Linked DNA regions of Arabidopsis thaliana. The protein of the gene in region 1 interacts with the protein of each later gene in a pairwise test. Each region holds a gene or a part of one and is shown in the gene's direction. Other genes may lie near its edges.

Region 1 (9,259 bases):
TGATGTTGTATGTTGTCACAGAACCTTGAAATCAAGAAGATAAATGAAGAAAAGAAGGCTTCCATGGCAGCTCAGTTTGCAGCAGAAGCTTCTCTTCGTAGGGTTCATGCTGCTCAAAAGGATGATGACATGCCTCCAATTGAAGCTATTCTTGCCCCTTTAGAAGCTGAACTGAAACTTTCGAGACAAGAAGTATTTTCCTTCCTTTGAACCAGAATTACCTTTGTATAGCTCGATTCAACAACTTACGGGACATTTAACAGCTTTCTCATATGGGTTTACATGTTTTGATTGGTAGATTGCTAAACTTCAAGACGACAATAAATCATTGGACCGCCTAACCAAATCAAAGGAAGCAGCTTTGCTTGACGCTGAAAGGACAGTTCAGTCTGCATTGGCAAAGGCTTCAATGGTTGATGATCTCCAGAATAAGAACCAAGAATTGATGAAACAGATTGAAATTTGTCAGGTATGTCTATATCATTTCTTTTACATATTGGAACACCAGAATAGGGTATCTCTTCCTTTTCTTACCACTGTGGTGGCCTTATTTGTTGATACATTGGTTAAAATAGGAAGAGAATAGAATTATAGACAAGATGCACAGACAGAAGGTTGCAGAAGTTGAAAAGCTTATGCAGAGTGTTCGGGAATTAGAAGAAGCTGTTCTTGCTGGTGGTGCAGCCGCAAACGCAGTGAGAGATTACCAAAGGAAATTCCAAGAAATGAATGTATATTTCATATGCTTCTATAGTACCTCAATAACTTACTGTTTTTCTTGTTAGTGTTTTGGTCTCGTACTGATCGTAATTGTGGTGTTTTGTGTTTTCCTTAGGAAGAGAGGAAAATCCTTGAACGGGAATTGGCCCGTGCGAAGGTAAATGCAAACAGAGTTGCTACTGTTGTAGCTAACGAATGGAAAGATTCTAATGACAAAGTGATGCCTGTAAGGCAGTGGCTTGAAGAACGTAGATTTTTGCAGGTCATTGCTGATACATATTAATATTTAAATTCTCTTGCTGCTTCAAATTGTGATTCATATTCACGGAGATTAACTTATACTATTGCCACCACCGTTATGTTTGGACAGGGAGAAATGCAACAACTACGCGACAAACTTGCCATAGCTGACCGAGCTGCAAAATCTGAAGCTCAGCTGAAGGTAGAATCATAGCTGCGGGACACCATCTTATTTTTTTTAATCTCCTAACTGAGGAATTGCTGCTTTTACTTATTTTTAGGAGAAATTTTTACTGCGGCTTAGAGTGTTAGAAGAGAGTTTAAAGGGGCCTACGAGCAGCAGCAGCAGAGGCACATCTGTTGGTAGAAGTTCGAGCAACGGGCCTACTCGAAGACAATCCCTTGGTGGAGCTGAAACAAGTCCAAAAATTACATCAAATGGCTCGCTGATTAAGAGAACACCAAGTTCTCAGTTGAGATCATTGACTGCTAGTGCAAGCACTGTATTGAAGCATGCGAAAGGAACATCAAGATCATTTGATGGGGGCACCAGATCATTGGATAGAAGCAAAGTGCTAATAAATGGACCGAGATCGAATTTTCCTTTGAACCACAAGTCTTCTGAAGGAACTAGCAGAGGCGAATCGCCTAGCTCAATAAAAGGGGAAGAAGAATCAGCTGACAAGGCAACAAATAATGATAGCGTCCCAGGTGTCTTGTACGATCTGCTGCAGAAAGAGGTCATAACATTAAGAAAAGCGGCGCATGAAAAAGATCAGAGCCTGAGAGACAAGGACGAAGCGATTGAGGTTTGCTAGTGTTTGGCCTTTTTTCCTGTTCTTTGCCGCCTTTATATGAAATGTTGTATAATATAAGTCTAAAGATATGGGTTGTGTATATTTAGATGTTGGCCAAGAAGGTTGAAACATTAACAAAGGCGATGGACGTTGAGGCAAAGAAGATGCGAAGAGAAGTAGCTGTAATGGGGAAAGAAGTTGCTGCAATGCGTGTTGTTGATAAAGGACAACAAGATAGTAAGACCAGACGTCTCTCGGTCTCAAAGGGAAACACAGCTCAGCTACTTTCTGGAAGGTATTAATGTATTATCATATCAACTACAATAAGCTTTATTATTACCTTTAGATGTCATTATTGTTTATGTATTTTATCATTTGGTAGAGTGTCTGGACGAATCGGGATGACGAGGAGCACACAGTGACAAACTGATTCGATCAATCACTGGTTGGTCTCTGTGGCTTGCCTTAAGGTTCTTGTACCAAATTGAGAGAAGGGATTCAAAAGCCGAAAGAGATAATCGTGTAAAGTACCTGATTGATTCGATGTGTGTTTCTCTAAAGCATTCCAACATTCAAGGTAAAGGGAGACATTGACTTCACTTAGCTGATATATTTCTTACTCTGTTGCGTTATGTATAGTAGTACTGCAGTAGTAGAGGTAGGGTTGTTTTGTTCAACATTTTAAGCTTTTTTACTCTCTTGTTTTGTGTGTGTCACTCTCTCCTCTTAGTTAATTTTCTTATTAACCTCGATTATATTGGTAGCCTAATTTTTTATCTTTAAAAGAACTCTTCTTGGTGTTCAAAAAAAGAACTGGTAAAACCCAAAAAAGCTATATACAAAAAGAGAGAGAGATAGAGTTAATGAACACCACATGAGTTATAAGAACACCATCATTGAGATTTGAGAAGGATATTTACAACATTTGTAGTCAGACTTTATTGGGAAAAAAGTACATTTGTAATGTAATCAGGTCTTAATGATAATTAGTAGTTTTGACTTTTGAGTAAAAAAGAAAGAAAAAAAGAACATAACCACATGAATTGAACCGGTTCCGTATCATTGACCGGTACGCGTTTAGCGACGTGGGATTTGATATATTTTCACTTTCGGTCCAAAAGTATTATATATTTGAGCAAGTAGTCCTACTTTTTTGGTTTGAAATTGTTTTTCCCATTACCGTTCTCTGCTCCATTGGGTTCTTTCCTCTTTTCTCCCAGATTCATCAATCCCTCCTGCTACCGCGAGAGAGTAACAACTCACCGGACGTTTCAAATCCATCCTCCGATAACTATATTCGTTTCGTTAGATCTAGATCTGAGCGTCGGTGAGAGATTTTCTGGATCTGTGATACGTTCCAGGAAACATGGCGACGATGAAAAGTTTGATAGGTCTGATAAACAAAATCCAGAGGGCGTGTACTGTCCTCGGAGATCATGGCGGTGAAGGAATGTCGCTTTGGGAAGCTCTCCCAACCGTCGCTGTCGTTGGTGGCCAGGTTTGATCTCTTTCTATTGAATATACACATTTCTACGTTAAGATCCGATCTCACTTCTCGCCTCTTCAATCTCCACGTTTCTGATTTATCATTTTTGTTTGGTTGATATTGTGGATCAGAGTTCCGGAAAATCTTCAGTTCTAGAAAGTGTTGTGGGAAGAGATTTTCTGCCTCGTGGATCTGGTAATTTTACCTCTCGTTAAGCAATTTTGTCTAGTGTCTTCGATGTTTGGAATTGAAATTAGGTTTTCGGAATTTCGTGCTCTTATTAGTTGCTTCGATTTCAAACAATTTAGCGAAGCTCTGTGATCTTGAGAGCATTACATGAACATTTTGACTACTTCGAAAAACATGAGACTGAAGAAGGAGACCATCTAAATTGATACCATTTGATTTTATCAGGTATCGTTACAAGGAGGCCATTGGTGTTGCAACTTCATAAGACTGAAGACGGGACAACTGAGTACGCTGAGTTTCTTCATGCTCCTAAGAAGAGATTTGCTGATTTTGGTAGTTTGATTGAATCTTTCACGCTAATTGCTGGAAACAGTGAAATCGACAAAGGCATGTCGGGCTAATCTAAGTGTTATTCTCTTTTCAGCTGCTGTGCGGAAAGAAATTGAGGATGAAACTGATCGTATTACTGGGAAGTCAAAACAAATCTCAAACATTCCAATTCAGCTGAGCATATATTCTCCTAATGGTTTGTGCTTAAGACCACATTTCCTGTTATGCATTCCTATTGTAGTTAGTTCAGAAACCAACACCGTAAATTTCCTATATTATTGATAGTTTGATACCAGCTGTAATGAGATAACGAGTAGTACAATTAGATTTGAAGATTCCAATTTTGCTAACCTCTTCCATGTGACTTTGATTTCTCACTCTACTCTTTTCTCTACAGTTGTTAATCTGACGCTCATAGATCTTCCGGGTTTGACCAAGGTCGCTGTAGGTAAGAGTTTACTATTTTTTATCCAGTAGCTTAGCTTGTGCTTAAACTAGTTACTGATATGAATCTTGTGCTTAAACTAGTCACTGATATGAATATTATTCGTGTAGATGGACAACCGGAAAGTATTGTCCAAGACATTGAAAATATGGTCCGGTCTTATGTTGAAAAGGTCAGTCTTGCTCTAAGCTATTACTGAGACGGTTTCGGCAATCTTTTCAACTTTTCCAACCAAGTTGAACAGAAGAATGCATTTGATCATCATCACTCACTATAATGTCAACTCTGGAAGCTTATCCATAAAATCTTTTAACTGCAGCCAAATTGCATCATATTGGCTATTTCTCCAGCAAATCAAGATATTGCTACCTCAGATGCTATAAAACTTGCTAGAGAAGTTGATCCTACAGGTACGACCTAAATGTAGTTTCCTAATAACTGGTAAGTAGTGACTTTTTACACTCCACAACATTTTCTTAACCTTCTAATATATTTCTGTAGGCGAAAGGACTTTTGGTGTTGCAACCAAGCTTGATATCATGGATAAAGGAACAGATTGTCTAGATGTAAGCGTCTTTCTTGATTTCTGCACCTTGGGGTGTCAACTAATTCTGTTACTTGTTTAATATATTGTGACACCTCCTCTACCTATTTGATGAAGGTTCTTGAGGGAAGGTCATACCGTTTGCAACATCCCTGGGTTGGAATTGTGAATCGTTCACAAGCTGATATTAATAAGAGAGTCGATATGATTGCTGCACGTAGAAAAGAGCAAGAATATTTTGAAACAAGCCCTGAATACGGGCACTTAGCCAGTAGAATGGGATCAGAATATCTAGCAAAACTCTTGTCTCAGGTACCCTTTGGATTTACTTGCACAGATCTCGTTTAAATTAAAGCTTGAATGCTTAGCTTTGACTTTCTTCCTTCTTTGTTTTCCTCTCTATTAGCACTTAGAGACTGTTATCAGGCAGAAAATCCCCAGTATTGTTGCTTTGATCAACAAAAGCATCGATGAGATAAATGCAGAACTTGATAGGATTGGGAGACCCATTGCAGTAGATTCAGGAGTAAGATTTTAAACCATTAAGTAATTGGAATTCAGAGTTGCATCAGAATCGTATGGTTAGTCACTCACTAAATATATGATTTCAGGCCCAACTTTACACAATTTTGGAACTCTGCCGGGCATTTGATCGTGTCTTTAAGGAGCACTTGGATGGAGGGTAAGTGATTTAGTTATTCTACTTCTTATTCGTAAAGCTTATAACTTCTTGTTGGTGTACTATTACATTGCGACTGTGATGATCAACTTGGAGTCTATGAATTTTTTTAAGAGATAGTGTCGTTTCCAGAGTAATGTGCTGCTCTATAATGAATTTTGCTTACCTTCTAGTCAGTTTCCAGACTAAGGATGTGCAGTTTTAGTAAAAAAATTACATCAATGACCTTTTCATAGATGTTTGCCAGAAAATGCTTCACATAATTTCACAATGTACGTCCGGTAAAGTTGGTCTTCTGACAGTCATTATGTTGTTTGTATCAGACGACCTGGTGGAGACCGAATTTATGGAGTTTTCGACCATCAATTACCAGCAGCCTTAAAGAAACTTCCCTTTGATCGACATCTGTCTACCAAAAATGTTCAGAAGGTTGTTTCAGAAGCAGATGGTTATCAGCCGCATCTTATTGCTCCTGAACAAGGATACAGAAGGCTCATTGATGGATCCATAAGCTATTTCAAAGGACCAGCTGAAGCCACTGTCGATGCAGTATGCTTCCAAAATTTATTAGATTGCATTACTTTTGAGACTTAAGTTTTAGTAAATTGACTATATTCTTGATTGCTGTTTGATATTTCCTAGGTGCATTTCGTATTGAAGGAGCTGGTCAGAAAGTCAATTTCAGAAACAGAGGTAAGAACTGACAAGATGCCTTTGGTTTTGAGAACTCTTCCTAGCTCTTTACGCTCTGTTTTAGTCCTAACATACCATTGCTGTTTTTTTCAGGAACTGAAGCGTTTCCCGACTCTAGCAAGCGATATAGCAGCTGCTGCAAATGAAGCTCTTGAAAGATTCAGAGACGAAAGCAGGAAAACGGTTTTGCGTCTGGTGGATATGGAATCTAGCTACCTCACGGTTGAGTTCTTCAGGAAACTCCATCTTGAACCCGAGAAAGAGAAACCAAACCCAAGGAATGCCCCAGCACCAAACGCAGACCCCTACTCCGATAATCACTTCAGAAAGATCGGTACGTGTCTCTCTCGCCTCCCTTTACTTAGAAATGATACATTATCAAGTCTTTGTTTGTTGACTTTGGATAATTCAGGATCCAACGTGAGTGCATACATAAACATGGTCTGCGACACATTGAGAAACTCTCTTCCCAAAGCTGTCGTTTACTGCCAAGTTAGAGAAGCTAAGAGATCGCTTCTCAACTTCTTCTACGCTCAAGTTGGCAGGAAAGAGGTAAACTATATTATTACCCTTTGGATTATTTTGTTACCTTGTAGAAAATGCCATGCCCAAATCGAGAATAAATTTAAGAAAAATGATGGTGCAGAAGGAGAAGCTGGGTGCTATGTTGGACGAAGACCCACAGCTGATGGAACGAAGAGGAACCTTAGCTAAACGGCTAGAGCTTTACAAACAAGCTAGAGACGACATCGATGCAGTGGCTTGGAAGTAAGGGGGTTTGCTAAGACATATTCTTTATATTGTTAATTTCTTTGTTCGTGTGGGCACACTGCATTATAATAGATATGTTTGGAGTTCTAACTTCCAGTCTACACAAACATACACGCGACTACTCATGTTTTCTTGGGTCGCTAATTTCTATCACAACTTTCCCACTTTTTTTTGGTGTGTATCTTCGATTCTTGAATACTGGTTTTTAGAACAGTTAAGACATATTTTGAAGTCGCACTCTTTACATTAGACAAAAAGGAAGCTAATCTTTGATTTTTATTCAATTGGTCTCCACTTGTGCCATTACTGTATTTGGATCCAGTTCAAGTTTAAAAACAAATAGATGACAAAGAAGCTAATCTTTCTTGAAAATTTAATGTACATCTCATGTAGATAGAACAACTTATTAACCTAAAGGACTTTTCTTCTGTCACAAACAATAAAAATCGTTAGAACTGAATTTCCAATGCTCAATTAAGAACAAGCAGCTAAATGTATAACCGTTAACAAAGCCTGTTTCACATGGTTGATCAGAAAAATGATTAAAAGAACTTTAAGTAAGCCTTAAGATTCGGGATTTAGGAGTTAAAAAGCAATGTAATCATCACAGCTGTTTTAAATCGTCAAAGTAGTAGAAACAAAAGTCAAAGAGAGAGCTTCAACTTCCAGCTGCCCATTAATTGCAGCGAGTTGGGGAAAGGCTTATTGAGTTATTTCTATCCACTTACCGTAGAGACAAGTACCCAATACTTTGTCTGTTTCTTCTTCCTGTGGCTTCTGGGTCTTTGTCAACATCAAAGCTCTTTACTTTTTCAACTTACTTTATCGTGCGTCTGTACGGACCACAAAAGGCTCTCTCTTTATTTCTCTGTGAGATTTTTTTAGGATCTGAGAGAGCCAAAGATCATGGAGGAAAGCCAAGAACTTGCCTTGACCCAGTTGAGAAAATCGGTCGAGAAACTCTCTTCTTCTACTGAGGTAATCTAATTCGACGCTTTAGTTTCATTACAGTTTACAAAGCTTGCATCTTTTGGCCGTTTCATGAGTTTCACTGACAATGTCTCGTTAGAAAATGAGAAATATCTGTCATTTGATTTTGATGGGTTTTATATGGGCTACACTGTTAAAACTCTGTCTCCATTCTCGTCATAGTGGTTTGTCTGATTAGGTTTGAGCCTCCCATCAGAAACCCTAACAGTAGAGACAGTTTAGTAAAAGTGAATCCATAATCAGAAAATCTCATCAATGGTTTTTGTTGTTGTTGTTTCCTCTGAAAAGGGATATGACAAACCAACATTGATGAGGTTCCTGGTGGCAAGATCAATGGACCCAGTCAAGGCAGCAAAGATGTTTGTAGATTGGCAAAAATGGAGAGCCTCCATGGTTCCTCCAACTGGATTCATCCCTGAGTCAGAAGTGCAGGATGAATTGGAATTCAGAAAGGTCTGTCTTCAGGGTCCGACCAAATCCGGACACCCATTGGTGCTTGTCATAACCTCTAAGCATTTTGCTTCTAAGGATCCAGCTAACTTCAAGAGTAATCACCTCTCACTTGCTTCTGACCTTTACTTTCGTTGGAAATAATCTGTCCCTTGACTTTCAGTGACTTTTGTATTCATAGAACTGATCAGCTTCTTTCCTGGTTCTCTAATTATTGAGTAGTTTCATTTGACTTCAAATGAATGAAGTTTTTTGAGTCCATCTATGTGTTTTCCTTGAGTTGATTCTTGCGATAATTATCTATGAACTAATCTTTTATCTGTTTGATGTTGCAGAGTTTGTTGTTTATGCGCTAGACAAAACAATCGCAAGGTGTTTACACATTATTGAAACCAAAACACTTCAATAATCTTCCGGTTAGTTGGTTGTGAGACAAGCTTTTTGGTTTTTATGTTTCAGTGGCAACAATGGCAAAGAAGTTGGAGGTGAGAAATTAGTAGCCGTTATTGATCTGGCAAACATTACATACAAGAACCTTGATGCTCGTGGATTGATCACTGGCTTTCAATTCTTACAAGTAAGCATCTCCCTTCTTCCTGAAACAATATAGTTATCACACAAAAAGAAGTCCTGTCTATTAAATTTGGAAAATGTTTCTCTAGTCTTACTACCCGGAACGCCTTGCAAAATGCTACATTTTGCATATGCCCGGATTCTTCGTGACCGTTTGGAAATTCGTCTGCCGTTTTCTAGAGAAAGCAACTCAGGAAAAGGTTTGATCTTTAATCTCCTCTTGATGTATCTATCTCTAATGGTTCTTGAGCAACGAATCACATAAATTATGATTTTGCTGTTGCATAGATTGTGATAGTTACGGATGGAGAAGAACAGAGAAAATTCGAGGAGGAGATCGGAGCAGATGCTT
Region 2 (7,250 bases), about 17 Mb from region 1:
AAAATTAAATAAATCGACTATCAAACAAGAAGTATTGAATGTGGTATATAAAGATGTTACAGAGCCGGTAAAACATTTAGATGTGGTTACAACTTAGTTTCGAATACAGTAGCAAGAACCCACAAAATCACACTAGCAGAAACTAGTTTTGCATACAATCTAGCTCCGAATTCAGAAGAAGCATTCAATAAAACCATTTCTGCTAATGATAAAACCTCATATGCTATTTAAGAAGCTTACGCAACAGTGAAAACTACTAACTTACCATCTCCAAATTTTCTCAAAATATTTGTGTAAATAAAACCTGATAGTGGTCTTTGCAACATAAAGAATACCTTTTCCATTGAGCGACCACAAAAAGCCTTCATGGCATTCACGAAATCATTGTACTTCTCGAACTGAACCACAATCTTACAATGGAGACCTGATATGAGGTCTCCACTATCCTCATCTGCGTCCTTACCTAGATCATCGTCCTCAGCAACATTAAGATTCCTATAGAGGATTAGTTAATGCAGCGGAACATGGAATTTATGTAAACTATCGGAATTATATTAACATCAGATTCATTGGTAAACAGAATAAATGATCCGAAGAATACTGAGAACACATGGTAAGCAAGTTCAATACAATGATTGTAATTAGTCTTCAGATAAGATTTCCATACAAAATGTCATTTCTTTTGAACTACATGGACAAATACTGTATACTATGATCAAATGTAGATGCATCAAATCTATCCAAAGCAGCACAAAACTACTTAATTTTCCAATAAGCAAGCCATAGATCACTCTCAACTCACATAGTGTCACATTCTTGAAGCAGATTTATGAATGTTCTCTTCACTCCGATTGAAAAAAAAACAATCCTAATCAAGCTGGACATGAAAGATGACAAAATCTTACCTAATTTTCCCAAAGCTAGAGAAGATTGTATGTGTAACCAACATAGAAGGCTTCGATGAAACTCGTGGCTCAGCAAACCATCTTGATGGCACACCTCTAAGTATAATCGTATCAGCCTCTCTCCTTCCTTCCCTTGAATGTCCTGCAAATCACAATCACATCAATTACCACGAAAAAATCGTAAAATCAAAATCCAAAATTGAAGAACCAAGATTACCAAAAGCGTAAAACTCCTCCCAATCCTTCTTCAACTTCTCGAAATCATCTGAAATCGGAAGTACCACACTAAGCTTATACTTAACTCCTTCCAAATTAAGCTCAATACCATTCATCTTCTCCACCAAACTCTTCCTCCAATCCAAAAACTTCTTCTCCAATTCCTTCACATCTCTCTCTCCATCATTCTCCTTCTTCTTCTTCTTCCCATCGAGAAACCCTAAATCGCGTATAAACAACGATCCATGAGCAACTGGCTCCTCACGCTTCCGTTTCTTCAAGTCCTTGTGACGACGAACTACGATGTCTTCCTCCGGAACTGTGACGGAGGTTACGACAGAGTTTTTGAGGTAATCTATTAAGGATCGCTTGAGTTGCCATTCGTCGATGGATTTGGATACGGATGGGACTACTGGGTGGATTGTGAGATTGAGCTTGACGCGTGAGACGAGAGCGAGACCGTTCTCTTCGATATCTAGAGTTTCTATCGGAGATAGCTCTTCTAACGATCGCATTTTTCGCCGTCGATGCAAAATTCAAAATCGCGATTGGCTCTCTCTCTCAGAGTGTCGTCGGCTATTGAGTACAGAGAACAGGAGGATACTGAAAACAGTGGTAAACCAGAATTCCAAATCGGTTATTTCCGGTTCTCTTGGTTTCCAATATTTTGGGAATAAATTGCATAAACGGTCCAAAATAGAGATAAATTCCAATGTAAATTTTTTGAACATTGACTGAAACCATTAATAAATGTTGAACGTTTCATCCAATGCCTAAATATATATGGTAAGGATTCTTATCTTAGTTATGAGTTTTGGCATACTAGGACTGAAGCATTGCATCCTACTGTGAGTTTTGGTGGTTTGTGCTCTTCTGTTGACCTTAGCAATGCGTCCATATAAATTGAGTATGGTTGGATTACTGTTCATACCTCTAGCGAAACATTGCAATTCGCTAGGTCTCTATTGTGGGGTTAGATGGCATGAACCATTAGTTGCACAAATGAACTCTAATGCATATCATAGAGGCTTGTTTTTGGATATAGTTTACGAAATATTGAGATGATATCTTTCATACAAAAACAAAAAATGCATATGATGATGACACTCTTACATACACTTTTGGTACTATCTATCCGCGTATGATTTTAAGATAATTTTTTTGAGCTTTTACTTTAATTAGAATTTAGTGATATACTTGTATGCACAAATTTATACAAGCAATTTATGAATACGGTATACACAAATTTATATACAAACAGTTAGACCAATACCAAAATTTGGTGATATACTTGCAAACCTAGCATGCTAACGAATTTGATAACTTACATGCCTTATCCCATCTAGCGAAACAAATTAGAGAGATTAAACTGTTGGAGATAAATTTAGAACTCGGTTGATCACAACTCAACATTTCGCACTCAAACATTACAAAAATACTAGTCTCCTACATCAGGATTACAAAGTGGTCTTCCGCATTTGTTCATTTGGAAAAATATACAACCAAACAAGCGCATTCGATGATACAAATTCTTGTACCACATTGAAATTCACTTACAATATTTTAATTCGAACAAATTTAGCTGAGAATGTCTTTATTGATAGCAAAAAGTTGTGTTAATTTATATTTTACGCATCCACATTTGTGTGTTTTATGCTTTCACATTTGTAAAGAATTTCTTTGAACAGTTGTGAAAATTTTCAACATTTATGAAAGAAAAGAAAAAACCACTTAATAATTTTCAACATTTATGAAATTTGAAAAATGTGTTAATTACTACGTGTTTATGTAAAGTTATATGACCCGTCTTGCCCATTCTCTCCCCGACGAAGACACACACAGACAAACAAATCCTAGCTTAGCACCGTCGCGACCGAATTCGAAATTCCGGTAACCCAATCGCCGGGAAAATCCACCGCTCGTGGCTACCGATATTGATTCTAATCGGATCTAGCGGCTCCCTTTCTTCGTCCAGATCTCGTACTTCATTCGACCTCGATTCGCTGTGCAAGTTACGATGGAGGCGATCGATGAGTTGTCTCAGCTTTCGGATTCGATGAGACAAGCGGCGTCTCTGCTCGCTGACGAAGATCCCGATGAGACCTCTTCTTCTAGACGGCCAGCTACTTCTCTCAACGTCGTTGCCCTAGGGAATGTGGTGGGTTTTCTCTCGCTTTTTCTGTTTCTGAGATGTGACTGTATTTGGCGTTTGTTGTAAGTTTTATACTGTGATCGAGTGTAGATTTTTGTTGCCATATCGTGGATCTTGTGGATCTCGATGAGGTGTTTTCGAAATGGTCCCGTAACCTAGGAGTTTGGTAGGATGTTTTGTATTCTTCATCTCTTCGTTCGTAGCTTGTTTTGTTGCGTTTCTCTCTTTATTAGGGATTATTTGATTCTATGAGATTCAAACCTGGGAGGTATTACTATAGTAGAGAAGGTTGATGCGTTTGTTATTTGAAACTATGAGAAATCTATTTTAGAAAGTGTATATCAGAACGAAAAGTGTATGTGATTTACTCTGTTTCCTAAAACACTTATCTGTTGGAAGACAGAAAAAATATTGCTATGTGTTTGTGATTGAAACTTCTTAGGCTTAGAAAAGAAAAATTTCTTATGTGAAGACTGAAGTTATTTCACTTTTCTTGGTGGATCAGGGAGCTGGAAAGTCTGCAGTTCTAAATAGCCTAATTGGGCATCCAGTTCTGGTAAGTTGTGTATTGAATTTGAGTGCGCGGCAATTTGTGTATGTCACTATTGGCTGATACATTTTCTTAAAGTAACCACTTTGTGTTGTCCTGTCTACTATGATTACCATGGATAGCCGACGGGTGAGAATGGTGCGACACGGGCTCCTATTATCATTGATTTGAGTAGAGAAGAATCACTGAGCAGCAAGGCAATAATCTTGCAAATTGACAATAAAAATCAACAAGTTTCTGCAAGTAAGAGCTCCCTATGTGCACATATGCAATTTAGCAATGATTTGTGAAGCTATTTCTGCATGTAAGATGCAATGCATTAGATTAATATTTGACTAATATTTCCGTTTTTTTCGAATGTGTGTATTACAGGTGCACTAAGGCATTCACTACAAGATAGGCTTAGCAAAGGAGCTTCAGGAAGGGGTCGTGATGAAATATACCTAAAACTTCGTACCAGCACAGGTAATTCCTTTCTACTTGCACAATCATAAATGGGAATCCCTATTTAATGCAACATCCATATTACCCAAGCCTAAGTCGGATAATGTCCCCTACTTAAGTGAACAGTTCAGCTGTAATGAGTTTTTACCTCTAAATCTAACGCACATTAGCGCTTCAACTTCTTTTGGGTAGAATCTGAAGCTAAGTTGTGAAAATTGGACTATATATCTAAATGAAGATCTAACTTAAATGTTCTCTTTGGAACATGAATTATCACATATCGTTTGTTTTGTACTGGTTTCTGTAATCATCATAACATATTTTTCCCTTTTAATTGCAGCTCCACCACTGAAATTGATTGATTTGCCTGGACTGGACCAGCGAATTGTGGACGATTCTATGGTAAGCTTAGGAACTGCTTGATGCCTTTGTCATCCCCCTAATCCACCTGTCAACCATGGAGAATTTCCACATTTTTTATTCGGCATTCTGGCTGTAGGGCTTCATAGATTCATTATCATTGTCATCTTATAATTTGTTTCTCTCCTCTCTTTGCAAGATTGGTGAACATGCACAGCACAACGATGCTATATTGCTGGTTGTTGTGCCTGCTAGCCAGGCATCTGAAATTTCGTCATCTCGAGCCCTGAAGATCGCAAAGGAGTATGATCCAGAGAGTGAGTATATAGGCACTTTCGTTATACAGACCCTTCATTATACTTCTAAACAACTGGGGTTACTACATTTGGATAGAAACATTGGAACTAAATTTTGTGTATACTATAACCAAAAAAAAAAACATCACTCCTTATTTATAGGTACTAGGACAGTAGGAATTATCAGCAAAATTGATCAGGCAGCAGAGAACCCAAAGTCCCTTGCAGCAGTTCAGGCGCTTCTTTCAAATCAAGGACCTCCAAAAACAACTGATATTCCATGGGTTGCACTTATTGGCCAATCTGTCTCAATTGCATCAGCGCAGTCTGGAGGCAGTGAGAACTCTTTAGAAACTGCTTGGCGTGCTGAGAGTGAAAGCCTTAAATCCATTTTGACTGGTGCTCCACAAAGCAAACTTGGCAGAATTGCCCTGGTCGACACTCTTGCTAGCCAGATCCGTAGCAGAATGAAGCTCAGGCTTCCGAACATCTTAACTGGGTATTTCCTCTCTCCATATGTTTTTGCTTTTATATGTCAAATGAAAAATCGATTGTTTGTTTGCCTATTTTTCTGTACTGGTACTTTAGGGAAGATTTACAATTTTCTCCATCAAAGCCAATTTGTTTTGTTTCTTTGAAGTTGAAGTCGACCTTTAGGCTTAGTTAGCTAGACTTTCCAGCTCCTATCATCATTAGCGCACTTCTCATGAGATATTTTAGAAACCTTTGTCCTTGTGTCTTTCTAATCAACATATACGGACCAGGTCGAAGCTAAGTTTCTGAAAAGGAAAACAAGATTCATATCTTTAACTGATTGAATAGATGATAATCTACCTAAAAGTCAAGAAATTAAACCTCTATGTTGAATTTGCAATGGAGAGGAACGGTGTTTAGTGAATTGGAATAAACCAAAAGGCAAAGATAAAGCAAAAGGGAAAGTTGCATAAGAGGAAATAGTTATCTGAAATTGGATATGTGCCAGATTTATCTGCCATCGTTACTGAGTTCTGAAAATAAGAACTCTTGCTTGCAAGATCTCTGGTCAATGCTCATCATCATCTGTTAAGCTGATATATTACTTTTGTCTCCCAAAATGTGATGTCTATCTTTTGTTTTAGTTTCTGGATGATTATTTAGGGACATGATTTTGGTTCTTATGATAGTCCTGAACTTACAAATTCCTTTGTTACATGCAGACTCCAGGGTAAGTCTCAAATAGTGCAGGACGAATTAGCGAGGCTTGGTGAGCAATTGGTTAGCAGTGCTGAAGGCACAAGGGCAATAGCTTTGGAGCTTTGTCGTGAGTTTGAAGACAAATTTCTTCTCCATTTAGCTGGTGGTGAAGTGAGTAATTTCCTACGTTAGCTGAACCATACTTTAGCCTTTTCATTTTTCTAGTTGTTATGGAAAATGTGTGGTACTGTTTAAATATAGACAATTAAGAAATTTAGGAAGATTGTCTGATATTATCTAGGATTTCACGATACTAATATTGGATCTATATGTGATATGTTTCACGGAAAAGGTTTTTGAATTGCATGTCTGGTGATTGTGCCCGTTCATGTGCTGAAGGCCTTTTTGGATTTCGGTAAATATTTTTCTCTAATAAAAATTTGGTTCAGGGAAGTGGTTGGAAAGTTGTTGCAAGTTTTGAAGGCAATTTCCCCAATCGTATCAAAAAGCTTCCGTTGGATAGACATTTTGACTTGAACAATGTCAAAAGGGTGGGTTTCTGAATTTTCCTGCCTCAAATTGTATAAACAAGTAACGGCTTTAGACTGGAGTGTGACAGATTGATTTTCCAATTGTTTCAGATCGTGTTGGAGGCTGATGGTTATCAACCTTATCTCATATCTCCAGAGAAAGGGTTGAGATCGTTAATAAAAACCGTTCTTGAGTTGGCTAAAGACCCAGCACGACTATGTGTTGATGAGGTGTGTCCATGTTAGTGTTTATAGCTTAACTGGTGTTGTCTTCCTCTTGTTTGAGATGCGTAGCATTGAAATTCAGAAATTTACTAAATAGTGAAATATTGGCTATGGCTTGTCACATGTGGTCTATTCAACACATTTCGTTATGATATTTTAATTCTCCAGATTCAAATTTATTAAATTCCTACTCAACCTTTCCAACCTGGTTGCCTTACCGTCTCATCTGTTACTGAGCTAATATGGTCTGAACTTCTTATTAGGTTCACCGAGTGCTTGTTGACATAGTTTCAGCTTCCGCGAATGCCACACCTGGTCTTGGGAGATATCCTCCTTTTAAGAGAGAGGTAATTATGCTTTTACTGCTCTTTCAGTTGCATTTTTCGTCTTACTAATAGC
Region 3 (7,898 bases), on another chromosome or scaffold:
GAGCACAAAGCGTGAGGCTTGATCATTTGATCGTGAAAAGCAACTGAAGCTAGGAGAACAGGTCTCAGAGGACTGACAAGATCAATCTCGAGATGAAGAGGGCTATCAGTGGCTAATTTGAACCCACTTCCTTCGGTAGATGATAACAGCTCGGCTTCACGACAAACAAGAGTAAAAACTTCTTGATGTATACTTTCTCTTCCTGAAATTGTTGCAGGACCTCCAGGACCATAATTTTTGTTTCTTAAGTTCCCAGAATTCTCATAAGATGTTACAGGCAGGGCAACCATTTCAAGTGAAAACTCTACAAAATCTTTCAAAGCATCAAGGTTTCTCGAACACTCTCGCAGGTAACCCAACACCTCCCAGAGCAAAGTTACCCAACCTTCTTGTCTGTACAAGTTTGCAGCAATATCGAAAAAGAATTTTGCGTTGTTGGGATCAGCCAAATCAAAGTACTCCCGGGCTACTTCAAAGGCACAAAGAGCAGCCATCCTCTGGGCTTTAAGGTTGGTAAATGATTCATAAGATCTCTTCAGCCAAGCAATAATTTGAAGGGAATCCTGAACTCTCTTTGCTTCTGAAATTGTATACCGTGTGTACTCTTCATCCGTTATACTGCAAATACATTAGAATTCATACTATTAGAGATGGTGGTAGCATAATTAGTTTTCTTTTACATAGATTTGTGGGATGAATTATGAACAACTTACGAGTGAAGTGTAATAGCTTCTCCCTTCTCAAGCAACTGAGCGAACTGACCCACATAGACTGAAGGAGTAATAGATGCAGAGCTGCTATCAATCTCTTGAGCTATTTCAGACATTGACAACAACAGTTCCAGGGCAGATTTCTTATCCTTCAAGTAATGAGCAGCCAACTGCGTGTAAAACGAAAATTTCCCAGTGGATAAGAACATATTATATTTTCAACATACTGTACCTAGGAACAGACAGCTCAGAAATTTATGAGAAAGAGGACGAAAAATCCAGCATTTGCTTAGAGGTAGGTGTTTAAGTTTATGTAGTATTGTTTTTAACTAAATGGTAAAAGACACAGAAAAGATTTAACACAAAATGCACCACCAAGTTTAGATATGTTCCGACTATGTGTTACATAGAGCAGAATTGACTGACCTGATAATAATAGGCAGGGTAAAACTCAAACTCAGTCAAAGATATTTCCGCAGTTCCTTGGTTTGAGGATGTTAAGCTCTGACCAGTTGCTGAGCTTGTCTCCAGCAACTCAGCAAAGACAAGAAACTGCCTACTCATCCAGTCCCAATGGAGAAAAATAAATTCTGTGGATCCGACAACCTTTTCATATGATGTTTTATGTTGATGAAACCATGTCACTGCTTCTATGAGTTTTCCACCATGCAACAAAAGCGTTGATATCTTGAAATGCAATTGCTCAGCTATGATTTTGATCTCGACCAAGCGTTGTATTGCAGGCAACCTAGTCGATGTCCCGATCATCTGTTTGCATAAACAAAATTGCTCGTCGAAATTGAATGTGTGGAAACCGCAGGCAAAGATATGTAATAATAAGAAAGCAATGACCATATATGCATCAAAAGGAACTTCTTGACTAGAAGCAGAATACATATTAGCGTGACAGATGGGTTGGGAAAAAACAAAATACTTAGAGATAATAAAGACCTCGTGCAAGGAATGGTATGCGTCTTCATAAAACTTCAGTGCTTCACCCCAATCTCTACGAAACTCTGCATATACAGCGACCTAGCAGTCATGGCATGAATGAGCCTTCCTTTTCCCAGATACTTTGGAACAAAATGATTAGACTTAGCAGAGGTAACGAGAAAAGCTTACTTTAAAACAGTAGCGAACATTCAAATCAAGAGAATTGGAACTCCTTTTCTCAATTCGGCTTTTGATTCTCCGTCCTTCTTCTCTGTAATAAGAAAGTGCCAACTCTGCAAAAGCAGAAGCGAGTCTGCAAACATACCGTGTTGAGATGCATTGAAGGAAAAGCCTCTTGTTCTAGGTGCAAAGTAAAAGAGGAGAGAAACATACCTGGAGAGAGAGAGCGTGAGTTCAGAGACTATGCTGGAATTGAAGAAGAGCACGTACTTAGAATCTAATTCTGCCCGCTTTCGCAATGCCACCAGACGATCGTCGCTAATGTCCTCTAAAAACAAGTCGGGAAGGAGTAAGTCACCAGTAGTTCCGAGAGGAAAATGAAAAGAATAATCGGATAAAATGCGCTACCGTGGGGAGAAGACTGGACCACGACAACCACCAGTTTGATGTTTTTGGGACGGATTACGGATCTAGCAAGCAATTGAGATCGCAGTGTTAATTTGAGGGTTTGAAACAAAGGAGGGGAAACAAGGAAACAAATATAAAGGGAGATGAGGAAATACTTGAGGCTGTCGAGATCGGAGCAGACCTGTAGCCATTGAGTTGGATCGCCGAAGATGTGATGTGAGGGAAAGAAGGCGGCGACAAGTGCAGGGACCTTGGTGCGATGCTTAAGCAACCAGTCCCGTTTCAAAATACCGCCGCATCTGGAAGGAATGGGAGAAGCAGAATCGGAGACGCTGAGAGGATCTCTGAAGGAGGAGGTTCGGCTGATCTGATCATCATGAGCAAGGAGGAGAGAGATTTGAGAGAAGTCGGGGAAGGCCAGAGCGTTGATGGGAGGCTGCTGGGAGTGGAGATACTTAGTAATGGACGCGTGTAGCTCCGCGTATCCGAAGAGAGCCACCAGACTTACCGGTGGCGTCCTGAGCTCTTCCGGGTATTCCTCCATCTCGCCGGGGAGTGTCTGAGACTCGGACGCGTTGAATCGAGCAAGGAAGGATCTGACACATTCATTTTACGTGGGCTTTTAACGGGCCTTTGGATAAGGGAATGGACTTGTATAGCTGTCAGATTGTTCATCTGGCCCAGAATATGATGTGAAATACTTAATGGGTTTTCAACGGGCCTTTAATCTTTAAGGGTATGAACCACTGCAGTTGTCAGATCTGATTTAAACTAATGTGGTTTCTAAGGATGTAGTATCATCAGGCCCATTATAAGCCCACTTCTTAAAGATGCATCGACTCGTCAAAAAAATAAAATAATACAAAGAATTCGAATTGGTTGCATATACAGAAACATTGGATTTTACAAAATGGAAGAAAGAATTATTGGAAGAGAATGAGAAGCTGTCAAGCGGAGGAGCGGTTGATGAAGTCAATGCAGTCTGCAATTGCATCGGCGTAGAAAGAGTTAGAGCGACGTATAGATGTGTAATCAAGACCGTCTTCTCTGACCAGCGGAGGCCTTCTGCAGCACCAGCTCCTGAGAAGCCTGAAAAAGCTTCTCACTCTCGCACGCAGTCTCTTTGTCTTCTGCCTCAGCCTAATTCCTCTTCCACTCGGCCATCGTATCCTTGCTCTTTCCATCTTTCAACTCTGTTGCATATGCGTCAGATTGTTGAGTTTTCATGTATATGCAAATTATCTATATATCGAGAGGCGAGGGCTTTCATGTCTGACTTTTAGAAGTGGTTGTTGAGAATTTTTGAAGACTTTTTTAATGATTGATCTGGTGCCCACGTGTCATTTTATGCTAGAGGGAGGTGTTGGTTAGTTGGAAAACTAGCTTCCTAACAAAAAAAACACATGTCTAACGTACTCGATAAAAACATATAATCTTCTCATTCATCAAGCATGTTGCAAGAGGGCTTTGAAATTGAGTTTGAAAAGCAAAGTTCCATTTGCTCTATTAACAAAATAAAGCCCATTATTAAAACCAACAGATTACTATAAGGCCCAATATCAACTTCCTAAACTAAGCGGGTGAAGATTTTGTTAGCCATTAGTGGTAATTTCTGATCCCATTGCTGCTCCTCTCTCCGGAGATACAAAGGCGAATCTGACCAGTAAGAAAGATGGCAGTCGAGATGGCCTCTCAGTCTCAGGTCTCTTTCTTGCGTCTTTAATCCGAATCTACGACGATCAATTCTTCGCTCTCTGAATTAATAATATGATCACAGGTTTTGGTGGAAGAGAAATCGAGTGTTAGAATCTTGACACTAAACAGACCAAAGCAGCTGAATGCTCTGTCCTTCCACATGGTATCGAATATTTCCCTTCTTGTACATGCGTACTGTATTGGCTTAGACTCATTTTTTTCTGTAGATCTCTCGATTGCTGCAACTGTTCCTTGCATTTGAGGAGGACCCTAGTGTGAAACTTGTCATCCTAAAGGTAATCATTATCCTTATCTCTTCCGCTTACACACATTTAGTACTGAATAACTTTGCCACAGGGTCATGGGAGAGCCTTTTGTGCTGGTGGCGATGTTGCAGCTGTTGTTCGTGACATCAATCAAGGTTTACCACCCATTCTTTTCTGTTTCTTACTTTCAGCTTTTATACACTCTTTCTCTATCTTCGTTCGTTGACTAGGTAACTGGAGACTCGGTGCCAATTACTTCTCATCTGAATACATGCTCAACTATGTTATGGCCACATATAGCAAAGCTCAGGTCTCGCTATAATTTCGTTTTGTTTTTGTAAAATCACTCCCGAGTGGATAAACTCATCAATTCGTATAGGTTTCAATCTTGAATGGTATCGTCATGGGAGGCGGAGCTGGTGTATCCGTCCATGGTCGATTTCGTATTGCAACTGAGAACACGGTAATCTTTCCTTAAACATGTCCATGGATGACAAATAGGTCGCTCCAAAATATGCTCATATCTTTCGACTTTCTCCAAGGTTTTTGCCATGCCTGAGACAGCTCTGGGGCTCTTTCCAGATGTAGGCGCCTCCTACTTCTTGTCAAGGCTCCCTGGTTTTTTTGGTAACAGAAGCTATATTTCCTTTTTTTGCATCTTCTTAAAGCCACCAAAGTTTGAAAATGCTTTCTTGTCTTTTTTGTTCAGGGGAGTATGTTGGCCTCACAGGAGCTAGATTAGATGGTGCTGAAATGCTTGCTTGTGGCCTTGCAACTCATTTTGTGCCTTCAACGGTATGAACTTCCTTTGCGTGCGTCTATTTCGTAAGACATTCTGAATTGACTTTACACATCAGATATTGTATAGCTACTAGTGTCAAGCACTATCTGCTTCACCAAGGATTGCTACTTAGTTAGGTTTACTCCTTTCCACAGAGGTTGACTGCATTAGAAGCAGATCTTTGCAGAATTAATTCAAATGATCCAACTTTTGCCTCAACAATTCTCGATGCATACACCCAGCATCCGCGCCTGAAACAGCAGAGTGCTTACCGCAGGCAAGTCTATATGATTTTTATCTCTTTTACTCTTTCTACTAGTATGGTTTTACCTGATTACATTTTCTCGGTTATTGACCATGATTATAACACATTTTTTCTATAATTTCAATTTCGTATTGCTGTCAGGTTTTCAATCGCTCTTTACAGAACTCATTTCTCATCTGATCTTTAATTGAAAATTTATAAAAGTGCAGAGGACAGTTATTTTTTATCTCCCCGTTTGTTGCGCAGGTTAGATGTTATTGATAGGTGTTTCTCAAGGAGAACAGTCGAAGAAATTATATCTGCACTTGTAAGCTTTTCATTTATATATAGAGATGTTGACTTGCGATCCTGAGTTGACTGATTTACCTTTGACAACGCACTCTACCATCATATGTGTTGCTTAGGAGAGAGAGGCCACTCAAGAAGCAGATGGTTGGATCTCAGCTACCATTCAAGCATTGAAGAAGGGTTCACCAGCAAGCCTTAAAATCTCTCTTAGATCGGTTAGTTCCCAGAATGTGCATCACAGGCAATGTTGACAAAGAGCTGACTGTGAGTATATATTTCAGATAAGGGAAGGGCGATTGCAGGGGGTGGGGCAGTGTCTTATCCGCGAGTATAGAATGGTGTGTCATGTGATGAAGGGAGAAATCAGCAAAGATTTTGTGGAGGTTTTGCAAGCTTTTTCCATCTGAAACCGTCTTTGTTGTAGACCGTAGTTACAACAGCGTGTCTTTACTTATGCAGGGGTGCAGAGCCATATTGGTAGACAAAGATAAGAACCCAAAGGTTTAACAAGTCTCTCCATTTGTTATTTGTGGTTGGTAATATGTGACATTGTTGATAACAATATCTGAAATTATAGTGGGAGCCAAGGCGACTGGAGGACATGAAGGATAGCATGGTGGAGCAGTACTTCGAGAGAGTGGAACGGGAGGATGATCTAAAGCTTCCGCCAAGGAATAACTTGCCTGCTTTAGGGATCGCAAAGCTGTGAAGTGGAGAAGGTGATGGAGCACTATTGTTTACGTCTGTGGGAAAGAAAAAAGAAAATAAATGTAACAACACTTGTGTTGAATAGGACTTGCATACATTACATAAATCATTATTGTATTTGAGAATTGACACCAAAGCAGCAGAGCAGAATTGTGTTAAGATTTGTTAATGGTGTTGGAGGCACAACCATGGCAAACGGACGTGGAAGCACGTCTATAGTCATTGTTCATTTATTTGATTGAGATTCCTCCTTGGTCTCATCTTCTGAAAACGAAAAATAATTAGAAAATCAGGTGAATCGTGAAGTATTGAATGAGAAGAGGCAATTAAAAATCTCCCGTGACTCTCGTCTCCCCATCTCTCTCTCTCCCTCTGCCCAAATTTCTGGGGCAAATTTGTTCATCAGATCTACTACAATCTCTCTTTTTCTTCGGGTATGGAGGGCCAACGAGGCAGTAATTCTTCGTTGAGCTCTGGCAATGGCACCGAAGTCGCCACCGACGTTTCTTCTTGCTTCTATGTTCCCAATCCCTCTGGAACCGATTTCGATGCCGAGTCGTCTTCTCTTCCTCCTCTGTAAGTCTTCTTTGAATTTTTAAAAACATTCACTCTCTTGCTGCTGTCTCTGTTGATCCTTCTTCTTTGAAAATTTGAAAACATTCTTAGTCTCTCGCTCTGTCACAGCTCCCCAGCTCCTCAAGTGGCATTGTCAATTCCTGCGGAGCTTGCCGCCGCCATTCCCCTCATCGATCGCTTCCAGGTTGAAGCTTTTCTGCGGCTAATGCAGAAACAAATCCAGTCTGCTGGGAAGCGTGGCTTCTTCTATTCCAAAAAGTCCTCTGGCTCCAATGTCCGCGAGCGCTTCACATTTGAGGATATGCTTTGCTTTCAAAAGGTTTTTCTTTCCCCCCCTTTCTTCCCCATTGACAATCCATTGACTGAATATGTCTCTCTCCCCTTCCTTCCTTCAGGATCCAATCCCCACATCTCTCCTCAAGATTAACAGCGATCTCGTCAGCCGTGCTACCAAGTTGTTTCATCTCATCTTAAAATATATGGGTGTTGATTCATCTGATCGATCTACGCCTCCCAGTTTAGATGAACGCATTGACCTCGTTGGAAAGCTCTTCAAAAAAACTTTGAAGCGTGTTGAACTCAGGGACGAACTTTTTGCCCAAATCTCCAAACAGACTAGACATAATCCTGACAGGCAATACTTGATCAAAGCTTGGGAATTGATGTACTTATGTGCCTCCTCTATGCCTCCTAGCAAAGATATCGGTGGATATCTATCTGAGTATATTCATAATGTCGCACACGATGCAACTATTGAACCGGATGCTCAGGTTCTTGCTGTTAACACTTTGAAAGCTTTAAAGCGCTCTATCAAAGCTGGTCCTAGGCACACCACACCTGGTCGTGAAGAAATTGAAGCCCTTTTGACCGGTAGAAAGCTCACAACCATTGTCTTCTTTCTCGATGAAACTTTTGAAGAAATTTCATATGACATGGCTACCACAGTGTCTGATGCTGTTGAGGTATCTTCTTGCTTTCTTTTTTCATAATTTACCGCTGATCATATTCTTGTCCCTTTTTCTCTCACTGCATTGACATCTGTTTCAGGAGCTAGCTGGAACAATTAAACTATCAGCTTTCTCTAGCTT

The links.
Region 2: the proteins of DL1C (region 1) and DL3 interact in a two-hybrid assay, tested with the Arabidopsis thaliana proteins (one large-scale study listed by BioGRID).
Region 3: the proteins of DL1C (region 1) and CHY1 interact in a two-hybrid assay, tested with the Arabidopsis thaliana proteins (one large-scale study listed by BioGRID).

The regions. Positions count from the first base shown.
Region 1 is NC_003070.9:5,105,335-5,114,593, reverse strand, and holds DL1C (DYNAMIN-like 1C), read left to right. Parts: upstream 1-2,847; 5' UTR 2,848-3,123; coding exon 3,124-3,255; intron 3,256-3,374; coding exon 3,375-3,438; intron 3,439-3,657; coding exon 3,658-3,765; intron 3,766-3,856; coding exon 3,857-3,958; intron 3,959-4,159; coding exon 4,160-4,210; intron 4,211-4,317; coding exon 4,318-4,379; intron 4,380-4,526; coding exon 4,527-4,617; intron 4,618-4,708; coding exon 4,709-4,773; intron 4,774-4,868; coding exon 4,869-5,063; intron 5,064-5,157; coding exon 5,158-5,277; intron 5,278-5,362; coding exon 5,363-5,433; intron 5,434-5,753; coding exon 5,754-5,979; intron 5,980-6,072; coding exon 6,073-6,123; intron 6,124-6,216; coding exon 6,217-6,457; intron 6,458-6,535; coding exon 6,536-6,675; intron 6,676-6,769; coding exon 6,770-6,895; 3' UTR 6,896-7,178; downstream 7,179-9,259. Other genes in the region: MAP70-4 (microtubule-associated proteins 70-4), read left to right, coding at 22-192, 299-469, 576-731, 836-982, 1,091-1,162, 1,242-1,769, 1,865-2,052, 2,140-2,179; AT1G14820 (Sec14p-like phosphatidylinositol transfer family protein), read left to right, coding at 7,801-7,872, 8,173-8,431, 8,670-8,706, 8,794-8,911, 8,997-9,107, 9,196-9,259. UniProt on the Arabidopsis thaliana protein: Microtubule-associated force-producing protein that is targeted to the growing edges of the cell plate during cytokinesis. Also plays a major role in plasma membrane maintenance during pollen maturation. Has a GTPase activity.
Region 2 is NC_003070.9:21,890,275-21,897,524, forward strand, and holds the start of DL3 (dynamin-like 3), read left to right. Parts: upstream 1-2,867; 5' UTR 2,868-3,138; coding exon 3,139-3,279; intron 3,280-3,778; coding exon 3,779-3,829; intron 3,830-3,945; coding exon 3,946-4,066; intron 4,067-4,195; coding exon 4,196-4,288; intron 4,289-4,607; coding exon 4,608-4,669; intron 4,670-4,826; coding exon 4,827-4,944; intron 4,945-5,085; coding exon 5,086-5,422; intron 5,423-6,119; coding exon 6,120-6,267; intron 6,268-6,545; coding exon 6,546-6,647; intron 6,648-6,737; coding exon 6,738-6,857; intron 6,858-7,114; coding exon 7,115-7,198; intron 7,199-7,250. Other genes in the region: ZCW7, read right to left, coding at 336-495, 906-1,047, 1,123-1,636. UniProt on the Arabidopsis thaliana protein: Putative microtubule-associated force-producing protein, able to bind and hydrolyze GTP. Collaboratively with DRP1A, participates in clathrin-coated vesicle formation during endocytosis.
Region 3 is NC_003076.8:26,375,167-26,383,064, reverse strand, and holds CHY1 (beta-hydroxyisobutyryl-CoA hydrolase 1), read left to right. Parts: upstream 1-3,383; 5' UTR 3,384-3,396; exon of another isoform or gene 3,397-3,447; intron 3,448-3,817; 5' UTR 3,818-3,903; coding exon 3,904-3,933; intron 3,934-4,008; coding exon 4,009-4,089; intron 4,090-4,153; coding exon 4,154-4,222; intron 4,223-4,283; coding exon 4,284-4,347; intron 4,348-4,422; coding exon 4,423-4,502; intron 4,503-4,571; coding exon 4,572-4,655; intron 4,656-4,734; coding exon 4,735-4,819; intron 4,820-4,901; coding exon 4,902-4,987; intron 4,988-5,128; coding exon 5,129-5,250; intron 5,251-5,484; coding exon 5,485-5,545; intron 5,546-5,642; coding exon 5,643-5,741; intron 5,742-5,807; coding exon 5,808-5,909; coding exon of another isoform or gene 5,910-5,933; exon of another isoform or gene 5,934-5,985; coding exon 5,986-6,027; intron 6,028-6,103; coding exon 6,104-6,235; 3' UTR 6,236-6,455; downstream 6,456-7,898. Other genes in the region: AT5G65950 (trafficking protein particle complex subunit-like protein), read right to left, coding at 1-618, 714-880, 1,137-1,478, 1,662-1,742, 1,833-1,956, 2,037-2,151, 2,232-2,293, 2,387-2,775; ZWI (kinesin-like calmodulin-binding protein (ZWICHEL)), read left to right, coding at 6,671-6,810, 6,901-7,129, 7,206-7,772, 7,858-7,898. UniProt on the Arabidopsis thaliana protein: Involved in valine catabolism. May be indirectly involved in benzoic acid biosynthesis and in cold signaling and cold tolerance.